Drosophila melanogaster: one gene and its partners. The protein of the gene in region 2 interacts with the protein of the main gene of each other region in a pairwise test. Each region holds a gene or a part of one and is shown on either strand. Other genes may lie near its edges.

What was found.
Region 1: the proteins of CG9590 (region 2) and Rab14 interact in a two-hybrid assay, tested with the Drosophila melanogaster proteins (one study listed by BioGRID).
Region 3: the proteins of CG9590 (region 2) and Rab2 interact in a two-hybrid assay, tested with the Drosophila melanogaster proteins (one study listed by BioGRID).

What each region holds. Positions count from the first base shown.
Region 1 is NT_033779.5:14,353,514-14,361,055, forward strand, and holds Rab14 (Rab14), read left to right. Parts: upstream 1-3,527; 5' UTR 3,528-3,694; coding exon 3,695-3,758; intron 3,759-3,767; exon of another isoform or gene 3,768-3,827; coding exon 3,828-3,941; intron 3,942-4,006; coding exon 4,007-4,187; intron 4,188-4,241; coding exon 4,242-4,424; intron 4,425-4,492; coding exon 4,493-4,670; 3' UTR 4,671-5,251; downstream 5,252-7,542. Other genes in the region: l(2)34Fd (lethal (2) 34Fd), read right to left, coding at 1-123, 184-905, 959-1,360, 1,419-1,484; Pgant35A (polypeptide N-acetylgalactosaminyltransferase 35A), read left to right, coding at 5,867-7,542.
Region 2 is NT_033777.3:15,783,789-15,791,164, forward strand, and holds CG9590 (uncharacterized protein), read left to right. Parts: upstream 1-2,914; 5' UTR 2,915-2,975; coding exon 2,976-3,970; intron 3,971-4,029; coding exon 4,030-4,417; 3' UTR 4,418-4,551; downstream 4,552-7,376. Other genes in the region: Uros2 (uroporphyrinogen III synthase 2), read left to right, coding at 4,816-5,577; c(3)G (crossover suppressor on 3 of gowen), read right to left, coding at 6,000-6,101, 6,160-6,396, 6,452-6,526, 6,592-7,104, 7,168-7,376.
Region 3 is NT_033778.4:6,695,108-6,703,469, forward strand, and holds Rab2 (Rab2), read left to right. Parts: upstream 1-1,631; 5' UTR 1,632-1,776; coding exon 1,777-1,822; intron 1,823-2,308; coding exon 2,309-2,468; intron 2,469-2,941; coding exon 2,942-3,278; intron 3,279-3,338; coding exon 3,339-3,437; 3' UTR 3,438-4,362; downstream 4,363-8,362. Other genes in the region: Mob4 (MOB kinase activator 4), read right to left, coding at 487-736, 785-1,158, 1,233-1,292; chk (chaski), read right to left, coding at 5,566-5,710, 5,775-6,015, 6,083-6,264, 6,706-6,815, 7,280-8,362. UniProt on the Drosophila melanogaster protein: May be involved in bidirectional endoplasmic reticulum (ER) to Golgi trafficking. Together with Rab7 involved in promoting fusion of autophagosomes and endosomes with lysosomes, probably through recruitment of the HOPS tethering complex.

The DNA of each region.
Region 1 (7,542 bases), on a different chromosome or scaffold from region 2:
TGCAGGCGGGACTTGCGCTCACTTTCGATTTCTTGGCGGATCTTATCTTTGCGGAAGCGGTCGAAGGCGAAGGGTTCCACAACTGCCTTGGCTTTGTTGTACAATCTTGCGTCCATAAAGTATCTGTAGAATTTTTAGGTATTAGACAAGATCTTTACCTCTTCCAATCTTTTTCAAACTTACCCGTGCATATAACCCTTAAGAAGATTGCTGCCAACGAGATGCTCCATTCCCAATTCAGCCAGCTCCTTCGCTGTGACGAACTGATAGTCATCGTACACATTCTCCACGACCTCCGATTCGATCTCCTCGGTGAGGTTATCCAAGAACGAGCACCATCGGGGTGCTGGACCCATTGCAGGCACATAATAGGTCATCATCTTAACATCCTCCTGGGCTACGAAGAACATGCCCGTGTCGGGAATGGTGCAAAAATCGTTGAATGACGAAGTCGACTCAACGTAGGCGATCTGCTTGCCTGTCTGCTCGTCCCACAGCTTCAGTGTAGCCTCGTCCAAACTATAGACGGCATTCTGAGCCGGATTAAAGGCCAGACGCTTGATGGGCAGTCGATTCAGATGATTCTTCACCAGCAACGGTTGCTTGGCGCGAATGTCGTAGATCAGCACGTGTCCCGAAGCAGTTCCCACTCCCATGTGCAAGCCGTTCCGGAATTTGAGGGCCGTGACCGATGGAAACTCCTTGACGCCCGGCAACTTCATGGCTACATCCAAAGTTGAACATCGTTGCTTGGTACGTGGATCCCAGGCTTCTACGGTGCCTTCTTTGGTACCGGCTACCAGAAGATGGTGCTCTGGATTCACTTCACAGGCGTTCAGGCAGCTGCCATCCGTTTCAAAGGGTTGCAGGAACTGACCGCGCTCCAAATTGAGTCGGAAAATGTCCTGAAATCAAATCTTTAGAATAAACTAGACATTAGATAGACCTCAGTTCTTACCCTGCCCACTCCCACGATGAACATGTCGCAGCTGGGCTTGTGGTACTTCATGTCGCGTCCAAAGCGCGGTATCCTTAGTCTGTAGTGCCGCCCGTGGGCCGCATGGATCTCCACATAGCGATCGCATTGCAGGAACACCATCTTGCTGTAGTCGTCGCTAATCACCTCAAAGGTGGTCACCTCGGCGTCGAAGCAGCGCTCGAATTTGATAGACAGGTTGGACACCTCGAAGCACTTGACGCGCGGCTTGTAAGTGCCGGTGGCCAGGATGTACTGTTGGTCGGGACTCATGCGGATGCTGGTGCAGACGCCGGGCATATCGAAGTCCTGGATGAGCTCGATCTGTCTCCGGGAGTCCACTTTTTTCATGAGCTGTGACCGCTTTCGCCGATCCGTCAGCCACTGTGAAGGAGATACTCATGAGTTAACTGCTTGGCAACGGGTTTATCTTGCTACTCACATCTGGCACCGACTTGCCGGCGCTCAGGTTGTAGATCTTCACATCGTTAACTTCGTTTACGAACATCTTGAGGGACGATTTTTGCTCAAAATTAAAACATAAACAAACGAAGTCCGCAACACGTGCGCCCTCTATCGATAGACACGATTGTCGATAGCATCTGGCTGCGATAAGCACCTATCGCGGCAGTGTGACCCTTGGCTTGCCAATTGCTCAGTGTGACCGCAGGAAACCAAGCAAAACAAGAGAACGCAAAAGCAGTGAAAAAAGACTACTGATTTGCATCGACCTACCAATTGAAAATAATCGCAATAATTGCCTCTCGGTGCAGCCCCGCAACCCCGCGAAGCCAGTGTGCGTGCTAGCACGAAAGTGAACTGCATTTTGCATCGCCAAATTGCCCAAAAATTGCAATCGAATTCCGCACAGCCAAACAACAATACGCACACATACACACAGTACCCCCCGCTCTGCGTAACCGCCCTACGTTACACATTCCGTTCGCTCCCTAAGGTGGACTAAAACTAAAGTGATCTAAAACGGTGAGTAATATTCGTTGTTTTTCCTTAAGCCAATTAAACACTGATTAAATTATGCGAAATGGAAAACCGTCTGCGAAGGGGTGACGCAGTGCAGCTGTGGGTGCTCCGCAACTTTCCCTTGTGCTCTCGCTCTCTCTTGTTTTTGTCGTTAGGCAGCAGCACTCCATTGTTGTTGTATACACCCCCTGATTGCTTTGATACCCTGCAATGGGGAGTTACTGTTTTGTGACCAAGTTAAGAAAATAAATATGATTTACAAAAATCGATTAATTCTGGGGATGTTTCAGGTTTTTATGGTGTATAATTTATTTTTTGAATTTTTAGGGGATGGTGGGGCAAAAACGGCCGCCACTCTACTTAAAAATCGGTAGGTGAGGAGTTTGTTTAGTATACGCTATAAATAAATACTCTAAATTAGTTTTTATAAGATGGATTATTATATGAGTGTATGAGTTATCATAGAAATATTTACCTGTGCTTATATATTAATTTATTATATGAATTATGCAAACAAGGTTTTTTCAAAATGTAGGCGAGCATGAATAAAAAATTATAATAAATCAGAAGTTTTCTTAGTAGTTGTTATCAGTTATTAATATATTTCTTTTTCATTTTGTTGTGTCTTATTGCGTTGTTGTCTTCAATGCGGGCTTATTTTATTAGTTTGAATGGATGTGCGCTTATTTGTAGATACTCAAATATCAAATCGTATTCAGTTATATCTTAGAAATGGAATATAAAGCGCACATTTATAAAAGTATATTTATATTTAAGATTTTTTGCCAAAGGGTATACATACTTCGTCTGTGTATAAATATATATTTCTCATACTCCTTTCGTTATTTTCCCTGTTATGGGTGCGCCGCTGTGTTCCTTTTATGAGGGGCAATGATGATCCACTTCCATTCAACACATTTTGCAAATAAGTACATATGTACTTCGCCTCCATTGATTGCTCCACTGATGTTTGGCCTTTGGCGCTTGACTGATAAGACTCGAGACCGAGACCTACTACTTAGTTAGTCTAAACTGCCCGTCATAGAGCCTATTAAACTGATATGCACTTGTCACTTTGACAAGCAATGATAAGCGATTATAACTGTATTTGATGATTTAAGTATGAGCAATTAAGAATCCATAATTGATACTCATCTTTTCACACTATATGCTGCTAAGTCACATTCTTTTGTATGAAATTCATTCATATGAAGTAAGGCAGGATGATTACCCTAAATACAAACTAACTTGATGAATAACTTCGCGCGTACTGCTCTTAATAATTGAATTCCCACGATTGCTTGCTCGGCGACCTTGATCCAAATCGCTTTCAGCTTGGGCGAAGGGTTCAATTCACTCTCTTCAGCGCCCCTTAACTGCGGACAAATCAAAGGCTTTCGAACGACACGGATACTGCGAATGGACAAAGTCAAGTGGCATGAAGTGGATATACCCGCCGCTCTTGAAGCTTGCCTCTTTCTTATTTTTTTTTTTTTTTGGCTTCAGTTGGCAGGCAAACAAACCCGGTCGGCTGTTCAAACACAAGCAGGCCTTAAAAAGAAATATCGGGGCCAGTTCGAGAAAGGGGAACAAAATGTGGTGTCGACGCAGAACAAATTAATGCAGCGCCTCGGTTTGTTGATAAGCAGCGACTACGGTTGGACATTCAAATGAGGAGCTGATAGTAGTAGTTAACACTGTTTGATTGGGTCAGAGTTCATTTCTGCCGGTGTCAAGATGAGCAAAGTGCGCAGCGTGGTGAACAAACTGCACGAACGCATAGACTACTTTATTGAAAAATGTGTGAAATATTCTATATACTCAATGACTCTGCAATGTAATAATAATAATAATTTCGCTTGCTTTTTAGGTCCCAACATGACTGCAGCGCCATACAACTACAACTATATCTTTAAATACATCATCATTGGTGACATGGGCGTGGGCAAGTCCTGCCTGCTCCACCAGTTCACCGAGAAGAAATGTGAGTAGACTGTGCTGAGTAATAATGTATGTAATAAGAACTAATCTCTACTTGCCGTCCTGCAGTCATGGCCAATTGTCCTCACACCATTGGCGTGGAGTTCGGCACACGCATCATTGAGGTGGACGACAAAAAGATCAAGCTACAGATCTGGGACACAGCGGGTCAGGAGCGATTCAGGGCAGTGACACGCTCCTATTACCGTGGAGCAGCTGGTGCGCTGATGGTCTACGATATTACCAGGCGGTAAGCGAAGCAAGCTACTATTTGAGAAATTGCTTTACAACTTGACCATTCCAGCTCCACGTACAATCACCTGAGCAGCTGGCTTACCGACACTCGCAATCTCACCAATCCCAGCACTGTGATCTTTCTCATTGGCAACAAATCGGATCTGGAGAGCACTCGGGAGGTTACCTACGAGGAGGCCAAGGAGTTTGCCGACGAGAACGGCCTAATGTTTCTCGAAGCGAGCGCTATGACGTGAGTTTCAACTGGAAGCATAGTGTTTGAGCATATACTGATTATCTTTTTTTTTATCGCCCAAACAGTGGCCAGAATGTGGAGGAGGCTTTTCTGGAGACCGCACGCAAGATTTACCAGAACATCCAGGAGGGTCGGCTCGATCTGAACGCCTCCGAGTCCGGAGTTCAGCACAGGCCATCGCAGCCGTCGCGAACTTCGCTGAGTAGCGAGGCTACGGGCGCCAAGGATCAGTGCTCGTGCTAAATGAATGATGGAACCTAACTTTACGCAAAACCTAGTTATACAAATCAACTTTTATTTTTAGCCGACTCGTAATCTACCGATGCCCAAGCAAAAACCAATGTATGTAGTTAAATAATTCGATTAAGCATCAATGTGTGAGCCAACAACAGCGACAGCAACCACAAAAAAAAAAAAAAACAGAAAAAGAAAATATAAAGTCCTTTCGCTTAATAAGACGCAAGCATTGCAACATTTATTGTATCGGTTAAGCATAAATACTAGAAAATTAAACATGTTTGTTGGCGCAAACTAAAGTTTTGACCATGAAATTTCGAAAAGTTTATCGCACTAACACCATCCTTCGGTCTCAATTTATAGATGAATTCGTTTGAGATATAGATCATGTTTTTGTTGGCTGATGAATCCCTGTATATAATATATATATGTATGAATTTTTGTATCTCCCTAATTTTTTGTTGAGTATTTGTTGTTGTCGCGTGCAAGAATTGGAGGAAACGATCAATGTTATATGAATATTTACGATGTATTAATGGCATAATGCAATAGGAAATAAATAAAATGGTATTTATAAAACCCCTACCAATAGAAATGAATTTCTCTTTCAAATAATTTAAATTTTAATTTGCATATTTAACCATTCGTTTATATTTAATTCTACACCAAATCGCTGGATAATTTTATAATTTACCGGATTTCCATTTAATAGATTTAAATTTTATAAATATTTGGGTACTTACGATTTACTTAAATATTTTGTAAAAAGCTTTTTTAATCCATTTAGTGGAATACCCTCAACTTTGACTTGCGCATAACTTCATTCTTGTTTTATTTAGTGATGCTAACGTTGGGTTGGAAATCAGCTGATTATGACTATGAACAATAAAGTTTGTAAGTCAAACAACGATTTTTCGTATACTGTTCTTTTGTTTGTTGCTGGTTGTCTAATTAATCATTTTAACTGGTTATCAGTCCAATTTTTGTTTTCTACACTACACTATTCTACACTATTTTCGATTTCCTTGAAATTTAGCGGGAAAAACTCTGAGCTAGCATCTTCGGTGGCATCGCTGTGTGCGCGCTTTTGTGCGAATGCCATGGTATGCAAATTAAATTTAATTTATTCCGATCATCATGAAAGTGACAAAGTAGCTGCTTAAGTAGCCAGGGAAGCGCACAACGTAATCTAATCTCGATCCATGATGCAAATCAAGCGCCTCCTGTGCAAATCCTGCGGCCTGGGCACCCTTCTGGTGGCGGTCGTCTGGCTGCTGGCGCTGCTTTTCTACTCGCACAGCCTGCGCAGCTCCATCCGCTCGGCAGGATGGAGGATCGACGAAGGGAACGCAACGCCACGGGCCGAGCTGAGCTACCAGGCCAGGGTCACCGTCGGATGCACTCCAAATGCCAGCATTACCACTGGCGAATCGCCGGCGGCACCCAAGCCGCCCAGTGATCCGGAGCAATTGGAACTGTTGGGTGTGGTGCGCAACAAGCAGGACAAGTACATACGCGACATTGGCTACAAGCATCACGCCTTCAACGCGCTGGTGTCCAATAACATAGGACTCTTCCGGGCGATCCCAGACACTCGGCACAAGGTGTGCGATCGCCAGGAGACCACGGAAGCGGAAAATCTGCCCCAGGCCTCCATAGTCATGTGCTTCTACAACGAGCACAAGATGACGCTGATGCGCTCGATTAAGACCGTGCTGGAACGCACGCCCAGCTACCTGCTGCGCGAGATTATTCTGGTGGATGATCACAGCGATCTTCCAGAATTGGAATTCCATTTGCACGGGGATCTGCGTGCCCGCCTGAAGTACGACAACCTGCGGTACATCAAAAACGAGCAGCGCGAGGGTCTCATTCGTTCCCGGGTCATTGGTGCACGCGAGGCCGTGGGCGATGTGCTCGTCTTCCTCGACTCGCATATCGAGGTCAATCAGCAGTGGCTGGAGCCGCTGCTGCGCCTCATCAAGTCGGAGAACGCCACTCTGGCCGTGCCCGTCATCGACCTGATCAACGCTGATACCTTTGAGTACACGCCCAGTCCACTGGTGCGCGGAGGATTCAACTGGGGCCTGCACTTCCGCTGGGAGAATCTGCCCGAGGGCACGCTCAAGGTGCCGGAGGATTTTCGCGGACCCTTCCGTTCGCCCACCATGGCCGGCGGATTGTTTGCCGTGAACAGGAAGTACTTCCAGCATCTGGGCGAGTACGACATGGCCATGGATATATGGGGTGGCGAGAATATAGAGATCTCCTTCAGAGCCTGGCAATGCGGTGGCGCCATTAAGATCGTTCCCTGCTCCCGTGTCGGTCACATATTCCGCAAACGACGTCCGTACACTTCGCCAGATGGAGCCAACACCATGTTGAAGAACTCACTGCGTTTGGCGCACGTCTGGATGGATCAGTACAAGGATTACTATCTCAAGCACGAAAAGGTGCCCAAGACCTATGATTATGGAGACATTAGCGATCGCCTCAAGCTTAGGGAGCGTCTGCAGTGCAGGGACTTTGCCTGGTATCTAAAGAATGTCTATCCAGAGCTGCATGTGCCGGGCGAGGAGTCCAAGAAGTCGGCGGCAGCGCCCATCTTTCAGCCTTGGCACTCGCGAAAACGTAACTATGTCGACACATTCCAGCTGCGACTGACGGGAACGGAGCTCTGTGCCGCCGTGGTGGCTCCCAAGGTGAAGGGTTTCTGGAAGAAGGGCAGCTCCCTGCAATTGCAAACCTGCCGAAGGACACCCAATCAACTGTGGTACGAAACGGAGAAGGCGGAAATTGTGCTGGACAAGTTGCTGTGCCTGGAGGCATCCGGGGATGCGCAGGTCACGGTCAACAAGTGCCACGAGATGCTCGGCGA
Region 2 (7,376 bases):
ATTTTGTGGGGATTATCTAAACAAGGGATGGCAATCAATTGCGAGTGCAATTGCTGCGATTAACGTTTTGCTGCCGAGTGTCGGGTCCTGAAAAGTCCTTCGGCAGTTTATATTCGACGACTGTCTATTAAGTTTTCCATTACAACTGATAGCGATCAGGACACGCCCACTCGGCAAACAGTGCAAACAGTCCCTTCCCCATCGTCCCTGCCACATGGGCACATCATATGGGGTAACTTCAAACGTAAATCGAATGAAAGGCCCAAAGTGAAAGCTAAAGACGTCAAGCCTTCCACTCCTCATCGCCTTCGTTGTGTGTGCGTGAAGGTCCTGGCAAATGCAGTCTTCGAAGTGTGCCTGAGTGTGTGTGGGTGTGGGTGTGGGTGTGAGTGCCATGACAACAATGGCATTTTGATACTTTTGTATGAGATTTAATGAAATTTGAATCCTTTTGTTGAGTGGAATAACAACGGCAAGGAAGCTGTTCTAGAGGGCGAAGAGAGAAGATGGGAAAACTGACAGGAAGCTGGTCGAAGGACGAGCAGAACAAGAAGCATTCGCCTGTGGGCAAGTTTCGTGAAAGTACACTGCAAAAAAATAAGATTCTTGCTGGTTTCAGTGATTTGAATAAAGATTTAAAGTAAAAATTTAATGAACTTTAGTTTTTAGAAAGAAAATAATAGTCTCGGAAATATCCTCCTTCAATGCCTTTATTTCTCTCAGTGCATTCAGTTTTCATGTAGTTAAAGTAACTGCGTGGCTGTGTTGGTATTTATAAGTATAGATAAATGTGTACGTTTTGGGTGTCTTACAACAATAGTAAAACAATCTTCTTAATGCACACTTTGGCCTAAAGGAATTTTTCCACTTGTAAACCGATACTCGTCGTAGGCCACCAGAGAGATATGTGTTCCGGGTCCGGATTCCATCACCATCCCGTCCCTTCAGCCGCCTCATCAGCATCGTCAATTTGGCATTGGATATACAAACATACATATACAGACTTGTGCGTATATTTACAGATGGGCCAATATATATGTATGTATGTATGCAGATATATTGACAGAGAAACATGTTAATAAACATCTGGAAGTTTGGTTTATTGTCATCGGCAATCTCTTCACAAAGAGACATCAAGTCGATGGGCATAAATTTGAAGAGACACCGAGGAGCAGACACTGAGACAATATGCTCGAGGGAACTTGCCCAAAAGGGTTCTCTTGTTTGTCCGGGGTTTTTGGGCGGAGGTATCAATAACATTGTTGTCCTGGCAAAAAGTGGATGGGTGCACAACATAGTAGCTCCTCTCCGTGATATTAGTGCCATGGCAAAGATGGCAGCCAAGGATGATGTGAGTGTGCGTTTTAGCCAGGCAGCTTCATCAATATTGTCAACTGCGGATGCTCCAGTCAACCTGGCCCACTTTCCTCTTGTTTGCCCGATAGTTTAAACCAATTTTCTAGTCTAATTCTGTGTTGCCAATACATTGTGTGGGTGTATTTTGGTTTGCACCATGGGTTTTCAAAGATACTTTTTTGGTACTTCAGCTAGGCTAAATGTTTTAACCAAAAGGATGTTGGCAAGGGCAAGATCAAAGGGCAATGTCTAAGGCTTCTTGTGGTGTGTGACATAGAGGAATATAGTTGTTTAAAAACACTAATTAATACATCTGAAAGCGTTCATTGTCGACAAATTAAAAAATATGCTTATTGATATGGAAAGTGCACTCTGAGTAGTACTTTAACTTATGACCCTGGTCCAAAATATCCCATTACCCCCTTCAGCTTAACCAGAAACTGACAATACACATTTGTCTCGACTGCCGCACATGTAAACCGATCTGCTGGCAAATTTACATTTAATTTTTGGCCAGACAAGACACAGAACATGCAATTACTACTGGCCCCAAAGAAAGGAAGGTTGCTTAAATGGGCGACTTTAAGGCAAGTTGGCCGTAAGAGACTGAGGCAAACGGAGGTGTTTTAGTTCTTAACTAACATTTTAGCGGTTTTGGCTTTTGGGTATGGCAAAGCTACCTTTTTTAGGGATTTTAATTAAAAAATTACTCATATCACCGAAGAGATGGAGATGGAGGATATGGAGCTCAAGCAGCTTTCTTGCCGTTTCTGCGTAAGATAAATTTGCCGGCTTGACGAAATATTCGTGTGGTTGCTTCATTCGGTAAAAGTCTGTGGCAGCGGCTGCCTGAAATTGTGCTGCAAGTTTATGAAAATTCCTTCTTTATGGAAAAGGTGGGTGTGCGTGTGTGTGTGTGTGCGAAAATGGTGTTGGCTTGTTAATTTTGCGCTGCTGCAGCGTTGCTGTCAAATTTATATGCTGGTTAGCTTAGCTAGCAAAACTTTTCGGTTTCTGGCCTGAAGAATGAGCATTTGTATGCGTGCTTGTGTGATTTTCTAATTTATGAGCCCAGTTAGAATTGGGACAATGTCGGCAAGCCAGAAAGTTCACCAAAAGCACTTTGACATAAAGCAGAACTCGTGCGATTCTGCTAAAGAAAAATAGCACACGGTTTGATGAAATTTAGTATTAACTAAAGTTGTATACTTAGTGTTCCCGATTTCTTAACTCCTCCGACGTCCGAGATACCTAGACTGTCCTAGCTACTTTTAAGTCCCACAGCCATACTTAAATTCTTCTTTTAGATATTCAAATATTACGAACTATAATTAGTTATAATTATTATATAAGTGTCATTAATTTAATTCATACAATCATTCATTTAATTCAAATCAATCAAAGGCAAATAGAGTAGCTAGCATTTATACCTAACAATAAACATTTCTTAAGCACAGTTTGAAAAATATTTATATTCCTATATAATATTTAAATATGCGCGCCAATTCTGACAGTGCAGCGAGTTGGCAGGTTGGCGTGTAACAGCTGTTAAGTCTGCACTGAGTTGACAGCTCTGACTCAAATCCTAAAAATCTACGTGGAGCAAAAATAAACAAATAATGGCAAAAAATCCAAAAAAGGAGGAGGACGGCGGTAACGACTGGGCCCAAAGTGACGAGGACGACAACTGGGACGATTGGGGCGATGACGATGACAAGTTCGTTCACGTGGAGAAGGAACAGCAGCCACAGGAGAAAGTCTCGAGCAGAAACGACGCAAAAGGAACGGCGGAAAATCAGGAAAAGCTGGAAACTCCCAGAATTTCTGCTCCAGCAACAGCATCCGCCACATCCTCGTCCTGGGGTCTGTGGGGCGGTAAACTGAGCTCCGTGCTAACCACCGCCACGGAGGGATTGGGCACGATAACCACCCAAGTCAACCAGGGGCTTAATCAAATCATCGGAGTGCCCGATCCCGAGGAGCTGGCTCGCATTAATGTGGCTGAAAAGGCGGAAAAGGCTGCTAAAGCGCCGCCAGAGGAAAATGTCGACGATGAAAAAGAATCTTCGGCCGCCTTTGGCTTGGACTTTGTCACCAATCTGGGCTCCAAGGTTCTCAACACCGGACTGGATACACTCGAGGGCATTGGCAAGAAGACCATGACCATCCTGCAGGACAACGATCCCAAGCTGATGAACAAGAGGAAACTGCTCGGTCTGGAGGCCAACTCGCCTAATTTGAGTGCCGTGTTGCTGGAGGCAAAGAAGGAGGCCGACCAAATGGAGCAATCCCTGCAACAGCTACAGCTGAAAAGACAGAAGGCGCAGCTGCGTTTCGAAATCCTTTTCGAAAATTACTGCGGCCTGGTGCACTTCGAGGCCCTGGAGATCCTTTCCAAGGAGTCACGCCTCAAACTGGACACCCTACTCGATGCGGTTAGTGGCAATGCCCGTGCAGAGTTGCAGGAAACGATAAACGAGGTGAAGGAACTGATCGAACTGGAGGATCTGGATGTGGAGAGTGAAGGTGACTACGAGGCGGAGGAACTGAGCGAGCGATTGGCGGCCACAATCAAGGACGCCGAGCTGGGCATTCAGTTTGACGACATAGCCAAGTAAGTTGTCGGAAACTAATATTATTTAAACATACCATAAACCCAAATCTTTTGTACAGTCACTGGACGCAGTCCCTCAGCTGGTTGACCTCAGAGGAAGCAACTGCCGCCGATCTGGAGCAAGCCTATGCTAAGAGCATCCACGCGCTGAGTGAAGCGTGCGCCCTCGAGATGTGTAAGCTGCACAAAATCGCCGAGCTGTTGCTGGTGAAGCCACATCACAGCACCGCCAACGAAGTGGATGGCGTCGTCAATCTCTGCCAGCAGTTCAATGGACACCTTCAAGGACTTAGCCACCGCTTCGCCGCCGTTCTGAGCGGCAAGTCAGAAACGGAGGAATCAAAAGGCCGGGTCAGCACATTCTTTTCCGAAATGCTATCTGCCGTGCAGTTCATCGAGAAGGCCTACAAGCTATTTACACCCATTCTCCAGATGGGAGCTGTGTAAACGGATTTAAGATTAATTGTTGTACTTTCTACTTTTACTATTGCCTGGTTAGTGTTCTCAACTCACTTGTTTTTCCATATAAATGTACAAAATTATAAATGATTGCGTTGCAAATGCTTGTGATAACATTCCCGAAATTATTGAGAAGTTTTTTCAAAGTGCAACTGAAAGTTCGGTAGCCTGCATTCGTGTTTGGTTGGATTAGAGCCACCTAATAATAGTTGGCTTCAATGTGATGAACTATTTTTAAAACCCGACTCTCGATAGGCGCGGCAATAATTTTCAGGCATTATCTATTCTATGCCCTTTCTATTCGAACTATTCTATAAATCAAACGCAAAACACGAATATCAAATTGTCCATTCTCTAGTTAAGTCCAGCAAAATTTAGTTAGAATCATGGGAGATCGCAACAAGCAGCCGGTTATTCTGCTGAAGGTTCCGTCCTCCGATGATTTCTATGGTTCGGCGTTGCGCAGCCATAACCTGGATCCCATCTTCATTACTCCCTCGCATTTTGTGTTCAAGAATCTGAAGCAATTGCAAGCCAAGTTGCATGAGCCGCACAAATATGCCGGGATTATATTTGCATCCCCGCGCTGTGTCCAAGCTGTAAACGAGGCACTAGGAAAGACACCACTTCCTAGTTGCTGGCGTGCGTTACACAATTATTCCCTAGGCAAGAACACGCACAGCGCCGCCTGGATAACATTCCAGAATCTTCCGACTCTGGGCGATCATGCCGTGAATGCAAACAATCTGTGCGATCTGATCGTGGAGACGTTTGGACCCAAGAGGGATCTGCCACTGCTCATGCCCTGCGGCAATGGCGTGGGTCAGACACTGCGCCTCCGTTTGGTCGCCCAGGGATTCCGGGTGGATGCCTGCGAAGTGTACGAGAGTCGGTCGCATCCGGATTTCGTCAATCAGATGCGGCACGCCCTCAAATTCAAGCGAATGGAAACGATTGTGTTCTTCGGACCCTCCAGTGTCCGCAGCTCCTTGGAGTTCTTTGGGAACTACAACGTTTCGCTTAAGGATCGCAAGCTGATAGCCGTGGGCAGTGGCACCAGGAAGGCAATGGAGGAATCTGGAATTAAGGCGGACGGAGTCGTGAATGCTGCTGACGTCGACCGCCTGATAAATATCATCAAAACATAGTTTAGTATCGATCATTTTACGTTTTGTTTTTACCAGTTTTTACTTTTGGTATGATTTCAAAATCTGTTTGGTGTCCTTTAAAGAAATGAGGACAAAAGTGTGTTATTAATTAAAGTGTTTCAACAAAGTACATGTAATGTTTTTATTACAAAAACTATAATCAAATAGATTGGATCTATTTGAACAAGATACTTCAAGATATGAGTTTTAATTTAACAATTAGATACAAAATGGGATTAAATAACATAAAGTAATCATGTTCTTAAAAATAGCTTGCCAGTTTCAGACAAGTTTTCAAAGAAGTACAGATGTTTAAATGATGATGGATCTGAATGAATTTCTAAGCTCAATATTCTTCCATTTTACTAAAAACAAAGTGTAAGAATTGATAATGTTGTCTGTATGTTCGTTGTACTGCTTAGTTATTTAGAATTCTTCAACATGTCGAACATATCAATATTATTTTGTGGCTTGATGGGCGCACATAATTTGGCACGTTTGCCGCTTAAAGAGTTGCCCACGATCTGTAATAAAAGTTCAATAATTTAATTTCGATTATAGGTGCAATTAACAAATACTCACTGGTATATCATCGCCGCTATCAAAGTCGGAGGAATATGTGGTAATTTTTTGACGACGAGCATTACGCTTTCTGGCAGTGCTTGAAAATTCGTCTGTATTTTCCGGTTGCACCTTAGTAGGAATGCTCTCAGTTCTGGTTGGCCCTTTGGAATCTTTTAGCTGTTTAATTGTGGTCACTGGTTGGTCGATCAGGCAGTTAATTCGATTCATTTTAAATTGTAGCACAGCCATTTCATTCTGTTGGGCAATTTTAAATATATAACATGAAATATAATGAGTCCGATAGACTTACGTTCTTTTCACGCTCAAGTTCAATCAATTCGGTTTCTTTTCTTTTAATTTCAAGCTCCAATTCGGATACCTTTTTCTATATAAAAATAATAAATCATTTTGTAGAAAAAAGGTTAATGAAAAAGAATTTATAAGTCTTACCATTAGGTTATCTTTCTGAGACTGTAATTCCTCGCTAAATTTAACTTTGGCCGTGGATAATTCACTCTCGATTTCCTTCTTTTCAGCCTGAAGATTGATAATAGCGCTCTTTAGCGTATCATGATCACTAATCAAATATTCCAATTTATCCTGTTGAGCCTTAAAAGCTTTATTCCTTTCTTCGAGTTCAGATTTAAGTTTTTGTATTTCAACAGCGTTTCGCTTATTTTCGCTCTCAACTTCAGTGGCCTTCATCTGCATTTGATTAGCAAGCTGCTCCTGTTGCCTTTTGAGTTCTTCTTCAAAATTATGAGTTTTTTCTTGAATTTCATTACCAAGACGCTTTATTAGCTCTTCCTGATTGCTGCGATGGGACACCATTTCTATAAGTTTTTCCTGCAGTTCGGAGACCTGCAGAAGGGTTTCTTTGTGTAGCTTCTCACTGTTGCTTTTTAGCTGAGTAAAATCAACTGAAGCCTTGTTCAAGCTCTCTTTTAACTCTTGAACAACAATCTGTCAAGGAGAATAAATAATCAAGATACAATAAAATATGAATTTAGTATTTTTCAGACCAACCTCGTAGGCATCTGCTTGATCTTTTATTTCCTGGGAGTGCTTCAATTTTGTTTCAGTCAACTCATTGATATAACTTTCGTTGATATCAGCGAGCTCGCTCAATCTCTCCGTCATTTGAGTTAGTTCATCACTTAGGGAAACATGTCTTCTTTCCTTTTCCTCAATAAGAGTCTTAAACGTATTTATCTCATTGCGAACAAGTTCGAGTT
Region 3 (8,362 bases), on a different chromosome or scaffold from region 2:
GTGTTTATGTATGTACTTCTTTTATTGCAATTTCTGTTGTGTATATAGTAATTTTGTATAGTAAAGTTCACGTTTTAGTCACGTACAGCTGTGTTGGTGTTTTGGCTGCCAGTAGTCAAGGGAATTTAGTTTAGTTTACGGGGATTTGACGTGGAATCAGCCACGAGAAGGTCGTGTGCCTACATATAATTTATTAAAATAAGGAGTTAAACATAATCGTAATATAACTTGCGAAATAATTGCTGACTTAGGATCAGATGGGGCGAGCGGGTTTGAGGGGGTCTGCCCTTGTTACTTAGTTATCGTTATGTAGCTCTATGTGTATCTGACATCTAAACTACATACAAGATCTGCATTAGAGTCGGGTCCGCGTGGAATCGTTTCCCTGTCAGGGTGAGCCAACCCAACTTGCAAGCTATTGGTAAATATAAATAGATGTATGTTGAATGAGTGTTTCATGCGAGTCTGACTAATCTGGGCGGGCTCCTAAGCCTCGCTTTCGCCAGGGGCCGCGTTTTCACCCACGTTGATGGGCACGATCAGATTCTCCTTCGACATCAGATTATATTTTGTGACGAAATGCGTGAAACGGTGGCACAGATACGTCTCGGCCTCGAATTCGTCGAAAATGCGACGATGGTGAAAGTAGGCGTGCGAGAAGATGCGATACACCCGCCGACATACGGAGCCCAGCTTGGTTACCGACGACTCCTTGATGGACACCCTGGGAGAGACACTTTGCTTATTATGTGGCTAGTTCAACCATGTCGCTAAGCCTGCATACCTGCTAGGGAAGTACTTGTTGCTGTTTAGCAGACAGGCGGCACCGTCCAGCGTGTGGCGTGTGTAGTCAATGGCCGGACATTCCTTGGGCGTCTTGTGCGCGGCGCACAGGAATATCCACTGGTCAGTGGCTGTCATCTGGGTGCACGTCGACGGCGAGCACTCCTTCTGCAGCCGCACTGCCAGGCCGTTCAGCTCCATGCAGAACTGGCGCAGGTGCTCGTACTTCCACACGCCCTCATCCTGGGCTTCGGGCATGGTCAGTATGAGTTCCACGTTGCTCGGGTCGCGCTTAATCAGCTGCTGTATGTACTGCTGCACCGCCAGCGTGCTGTCCATCTCCTCCAGGGGCTCGTCGGGCCAGCGACAGAAGTCCTGAAAGGCGAAACGGAAAACGGGTCAGACGGGCCGGGCCGGGATCGTTGTTCGGACGCCATGTCATCGCTCACCTTGGATTTTGTGCCTGGCCGGTTCCTACGCAATATGGTCGAGCCGTCAGCCATCTTCATGTTTCACCCGCTCGAAGACGCGATGATCCACAACGTCTGTGCCTACGCCTTGATGAGAAAATCACTGGCAGAAACTGAATGCTAGCCTGGTCCCTGCCCCGCGGGAGTCTCCGGATGTGGGATCCCTGCACCGTAGTATGCTGAGTGTATTCTACAGGAGCTGGCACATCGCTTGACAATTAATTGGCGTTTATCCTCCAAAACACTTTGCTTTGTGCGAGAAAATTTCTGACAAATTCTACATACATACATATACCTATCGATTGGCCAGCGGCAGTGCGCATCGTTATCGATAGGGCGATTGCAGCCTTGCGGTATTTCGGTATTTCCGCCAGCCCTGGCCACAAAGTGGCCACACTGTCGCTAGCCAGTCATCATAAATACGAACAGATTGGAAAACGTACAAGAATTGCGTATTATCTGTGGCATTACGAGATCGTACTTTCTAAAAACTAGCTTACCGTAACCCCCGTCAGCTTAAAACATGTCCTACGCGTACTTGTTCAAATACATCATTATCGGAGACACAGGTGAGTGCAAGCTGCGACTTCCTTTGAAACGGAATGGCCAGTGAAAAGTTGGCCATTGTCAGGGAAACAATCTGTAATTGCAAACAACACAACAAAACAAAGGGCATCGCAGGCGTAGGGGTCGTACCCGAAAATCAAAAAATGGGGGTTTCAGGTGGTCTCAAGTGAAAAATTGATACCGTGAGATCAAAATTGCGTCGGCAGGAAAATATTCCTGGAGTCGGTGGGCCGAAGGAAAAATCAATAATACCATAACAACGCATACAGGCGTTTGCTGCTCTCAGAGTTAGTGGTGCGCGGGGAGCAGCCCACACATAAACCCTGCTGCTGACTCACCCAACCACCCCCAGTAATTGAGGGATTCCGCCCCAAAGAGCCACGGGCTTATCAGCACTCTGCTTTTCGGGATGTCCAACAGCTGTTGGCATTTTCCAGCCTGTCCCACCTTTTCCCCGCTCGCCCACTAACCCTTTTCCGTTTCCGCAGGCGTGGGCAAGTCCTGTCTGCTGCTCCAGTTCACGGACAAGCGATTCCAGCCGGTGCACGACCTGACCATTGGCGTGGAGTTCGGAGCACGCATGATCACCATCGACGGCAAGCAGATCAAGCTTCAAATCTGGGACACGGCTGGGCAGGAGGCTTTCAGGTACCCACTTCTGTTCATTTAGTGTTAATACTTAAGAAGGGATAAGTGAAAGCTCAGATTACTTCCAAAATTGAACTGAATAAATTTTTGCAAATTTCGTATCCAAAACCCCAAGTCCAAGGCGGATAATAATTCGGCTCGTTTTTTATATTAAATAAAATAATTTGAATAAAATTCTTACTTAATGATCCAAAATAATAATAATATATATATATAGAGCCTTTAGTAAAAAGGCTTAATAATTTGTATTCAAAAAATTTTATTTGCTTCATTTCGGCACATTGTTGATAGATGTTTATTTAAAAAAGTTTTAATTCTATCATTTTTAATTTTTTGTGATATAAATTTTTTATACTTTACTTAAAATTAAATAGAAGTCGTCAGACAGAAATTTAATGGGTTACTAATAATTAAATAATATAAGCACTGTCATTTATATAACTGTATTGTGACGCAAAATATTTCTTGAATAGATCTATCACACGCTCTTATTACCGCGGAGCTGCTGGCGCCTTGCTGGTGTACGACATCACGCGACGGGAGACCTTCAACCACCTGACCACCTGGCTGGAGGATGCGCGTCAGCACTCGAACTCGAACATGGTCATTATGCTGATAGGCAACAAGAGCGATTTGGATTCGCGGCGTGAGGTGAAGAAAGAGGAGGGCGAGGCCTTCGCCCGCGAGCACGGACTGGTCTTCATGGAGACTTCTGCGCGCACAGCTGCCAACGTAGAGGAGGCGTTCATAAATACGGCCAAAGAGATTTACGAGAAGATCCAGGAAGGTGTCTTCGACATCAACAATGAGGTAAGAAGGATACATTTAACTTAGAAACTTCTTGCCACTACATTATTATCTCGTTACTAGGCAAACGGCATTAAGATCGGCCAACAGCACTCCCCCACAAACCCGTCGCTCCCAGGAGCCGGAGGAGCAGCTGGAGCAGCAAACAGTGGCTGCTGCTAGGAGTAAACCGCAGATGCCCGATTGCAATTCTGGGATAGGCGCAGCCGCTTCTGTAAAAGCTACTTTAGTGACTAACTAATAGAAGGTAGTTGAAGGAACAGATTTCTTGTTTTCTATCTCAACCGTAACTAACCACGTAAACATAGCTACCACTAATCTAGCAATTGGACACTAAGCTAAATGTTAAAACCATTAAGATCAGACAGTTACAAGAAACACATCTCCTTGTTCAGCTACGTTTTATTTTACCAAAAAAAACCAAAAGGAAGAAGTAACCAGAAATAAACCAAAACAAACCACATTTGTGTACGTGAATGTCGTGCGTGATTTCTAAATTTTATAAAGTTTATTGAAACATTTTTAAATGTTTTATGCATGTATTTTGTGTATATTGAAGTTAGTTTGCTAGTTACTTCGTGTAAAATCGATAGTTATACATTGGGATTTTGACAAAATGATGTGTAATATATGAACAAAAATCAAACTGTGTGAATTTTCATTGTGATTCGATTTCAGTGAGGTCCAGCTTCGCAACGCTGCGCCACGCCCCCTTTTGCAATGGGTATCTGCTCCGCTTCTCTATACACACATACATAATTAAATATATTAATATGTTTACGTTTCCTTCTCAACGCATTTGCTTTGTCTATTTTGTTGTGCAATCCGCTTAGTCTTTATACATACACTAGAAAAAAAGTACTTTAACAAAATATACAAAACGTGAGGGCCGAAATGGGGTTATATAATTTACACAATCAACATGCATTAACCAGTGGTAACACGAAATGCTGCGATTCAATGATCAATTTAGTATTTTACGAAGTTTATATATTTAATTAACGGCGATTGCTAAGACAAAACGAAAGATACAACTGTAAACGTAAATCAAATTATTTATAATATTTGTATTTGCCCAACACAATGCGGAATAATAAATATACATACTTACTATTAATATAATTATATAAATTAAATCGGTACTTACCTTGGGTTCATTAGCGTTTAATCAAGTGATAGTTAACGACTAATTAGTTTTTTGGTGTCTAGATGAGAAGTAAAACACTAAGGCAAATTTAATGAGGCATTTAAAGTTGTAAACAACTCAACTTTTAAATGAAAAGAGGTCAGACAAATAATTACGCATTAGTGTAGTTTTAACCCTTTTTATTTAGTAAGAGGCTTTCGGTAGATAATTGTTGAATTAATGTCTTGTAAATATTATTAAATGGTGAATCCTTTTTTGTTTATGTACATATTTCCTAAAGTGTTCGGAATTAACAATTTCCACTTTCTATGTCGGCTATAGGGATATAGTGTCGCATTTACTTAATTTTTTTAAATGTGCTTACATGTTAAAACATTTTTTTACTACTGAAATATACTATTTAGAAATATTTTTGTATTTTTTTTTAATAATACTTGAACTTTTAAGATATTACATAGGTTTGTTTCTTATTTTCTGAATCTTATCTGTGTTTTGTCTAAGAAAAAGTTTGCCAAACTGCAAAAACAAGTTTTTCGCTTCAACATTAACTATTTTTTATACCCTAATTTGCTCAGTTGGTTTTTTTTAATTGGAAACTATTCGGATCCGTGACGTTTGATGTACAAACAAATGCTCCAAAGATTTTATTGTGAGTTTTAGATTGATTGAAAATGGTCACTTGTTATTGCATACGTTACATAGATTGTTGTTTATTGTATTCCCTTTAATTAATATTCGTACGAAATGTAAGGCAATTAAAACTATTTTTCTAAATTTTGTAAAGAAGACAATTGAGGGACCCGTTTGCACCTGGCAGTGATGCACTGCATTGATATTGATTGAAATTGAACAGTTTGTCTAGACAAAGATGCGGTTAGTAATTGCCCTAGTGCGGTAAGTATATGTTAGGTGTATATTGATACTTAGCTACGATTAGTCAAGTCAAGTATAGTCTTACAGGCTAGAGCTTAGGAATAGGCTTAGTTTCAGTTACAATTCTGCTCTGATTTTATGGCTGCAACACCATTTGACATAAGAAACTCGTTAACATTTAATGCTAGTCCATTATTATGCTACAGTTCGGATTTGTAGTACCTCCAGTTGCCTTCTACTTGCGGCGTTCAACAGTGCAATGTAAGTAACCTAGTGTAAAAGTTGAGCTTTTTTAGTCTCTAAGACATCACTATCACTCTCCTTAGGTGCTTTCTTTTCACAGAACTCGATCAGATACGAACAGACACCAGAGAGTGCGATAAATATTCCAGCATAATAGAAGGTGTCATCCCATCTGAAAGAGGACAACGGGTGGTCAGATAACCTGTGCACAGACTGTAGAATGCCGCCCAACTCACCTGCCCGTATACTCGTATATGACGCCTGCAATAGGGGGTCCTGCGATCATTCCAACTCCCTGAACCAGCAGCACCAGACCGTAGGCACACGTGAAATCGTCCAGATCCACAATACTGACCAGAATGCTGGGCGTAAACGAGAAGGAGCTGGCGAACGTAAATCCGAAAATAACGCACATGACCATCAGGCCCATGTAGTTGGTAATCAGCAGGGGCATGAAGAACACAGACGCTCCGCACACTGAAAAATATAATAAATAATAAATTCAATTGATAAATTGAAAATGTGACATAGTCCAAGCACTCACCCAGCATGCACAGCGAGTAGCATATATTGATGTTCATCCAGGACAGATCCCCCAGATAGCCAAGTCCTATCATGCCCACCGTTTGGGCAATGCCGACATCCGAAATCAACTCGGCACTCTGGCTCACGTCGTACTTGTATTGCTTCATGTAATCGGGAAGGTACAGATAGGGGATAATGAACCTGTGGAGCGTGCCAAAAAGTAGATTAGCCGCTGATTGAGCAGAGGAGCCTTATCTGGTCAATGTTGAGGAGTTAGCATTGATTTCAACTAGTTTTCTTATCGATCTATTAGGGCACTCGGACTCCGCAGTCGTGGGGTAAGATAAACCATGATCTTGAACAGCTAAGGGGGCCTACTAACTGAGCTGATCGATAACGTTGTGCTTGGAATTTCACCGCTGTTGGCCAACAATATTGTTGTGCAACGCTTTTCGTTTTCGAACAGCTGCCAAAATTGTTTGCGACGTCTTCTGGCAAAATAAACAAATTCACGCGACGGCTTGGCACATTTGTCTATTAATTTTAGCATTTATTGCGCCTTGAGTTCATGCACAGCTTGGGGCCTTTGCCAATGAAATTGTTTTTTTTTTTTTTTTATTAATATCACCAAAGAGTACTCACCAAATGAACAAAAACAATGTAGAGAGATTGAAGAGGGCGAACTTCATGTCCAGAAAGAGTGAAAAGTCAAAGATGGACTTCATGGTGTCCACAAAGTTGTCATACCAGGTCTATCGAAAGAGAAAGGATATTTAATTATTATTGTTCCATTAAATCTAAGCAACACTGAGGATACGATTATTTTTGATTTTGATTGTTTACCACTGCTTTTATCTCTACTTGAAAATTAATTAATACAAAATGTACTTTTAAAACGATTTAAAGGACTATCGCAAAAATCGAGTAAGTGTGTTTAGTCAAGACATTCATTACAAAATAATAATAGTTGTGAGTTGTTAACTAAACTATCAAGAGATTATCATCTTTCAAGGTACCAATAACTGGCTCGGTTTCTTGCGTAGGCAGAACGGAAATCGGAGCGGTCACCTTATCAGCCCTAAAAAGTATGTATATGTGGTCCAACTAGGCGACCAAACAGAGAGGCAGCTGATAAACAGCTTTGAGCATTAACCAGCTGGGGCTGTCGCCAAGCGACCGGCTGATAAGGGCGGACCAAGGGTCACGGTCTACTCACATCTTCCTCCTCTTTGGCGATGGTGGTCATCGAGTTGCGGTAGATGTTGGGACAGGAGGAGGCGCGCAGCCGGTAGCGGTGCGTGTTCAGCATGGCCCCGCGGTAGTGGATCGAGTTGCGGTGAATGCGCATATCCTTAAGGAAGTTGGAGTTCCGGATCGAGATGTTGCGGCGGAGGTTCGATCGGTGGTGGCTGGGCTTCTTGGAGCGCGACAGCCGGCGGATTCCCGTGATGCTGTCCAGGCGTGCGCGACGGGTGGCCAGCTCGCTGTTCACCGACTGCTCCTGTTCCGGAATGGCGATGACGGTGGGCCTGATGCGCCTGCTCGGCTCCAGCAATGCGAAGGTCTCGTCCTTCGAGTAGTAGCAGTGCATGTCCTCGCTCAAGATGTCCACCGAATTGTGTCGCAGGCCATTCACCTTTAGGTTGGAGATTGATGGTGTTGTATGCTTGGCCATGAAGATGTTTTCGTTAAGCGAGTACCGGGAGCTGGCGTGCTTCTGCGTAAGGTAGCCTTCGTCCGAGGAGCGGAGCGAGCCATTGGGAGTCCTACCAGTGGAGCGCTTTTCCGATGGAGACAGCGTCTCGATGGAGGCCAGATAGGCCTTCTTTGCTTCCTCTGCCGCCTCGTGAGCTATTCCGCCCATTAGGGTATCATCTGGCGAGCCTATAACGGCCGTCGATGGGGGATAGGCACCTGCTCCTGAGGACATGGACAGCAGGTTCTCTCGTGACGGCGCCTCCTCACCCTCCTTGTGGCGTAGGGAGCGTCGGCTCAGGCTCTTAACCTCGCAGATGCTGTCAAGCTCCTGAGTGCTCAGGAAGGTGGGCAGGAAGATCTCGCTGCGGTAGCGCTTGAGAGCGGAGTCCAACGGATCGTCAATCTGCTGGTTGGCCTCCGTGTTGTTCTTGGTCACCAACGAGTCTAGCACAGCCTCCTTTGTGATGCCGGTGTCCAGCAGCTTTTTTATTTCCTCCAGGCAGACACTGGAGTTCGAGAAGGTGGTGACGCTTTGGGATCGACTCTCTAGACGGTTTTCCTCGATCAGCCAGTCGGGATCGCGCATGAGGGCGCCGCAAAC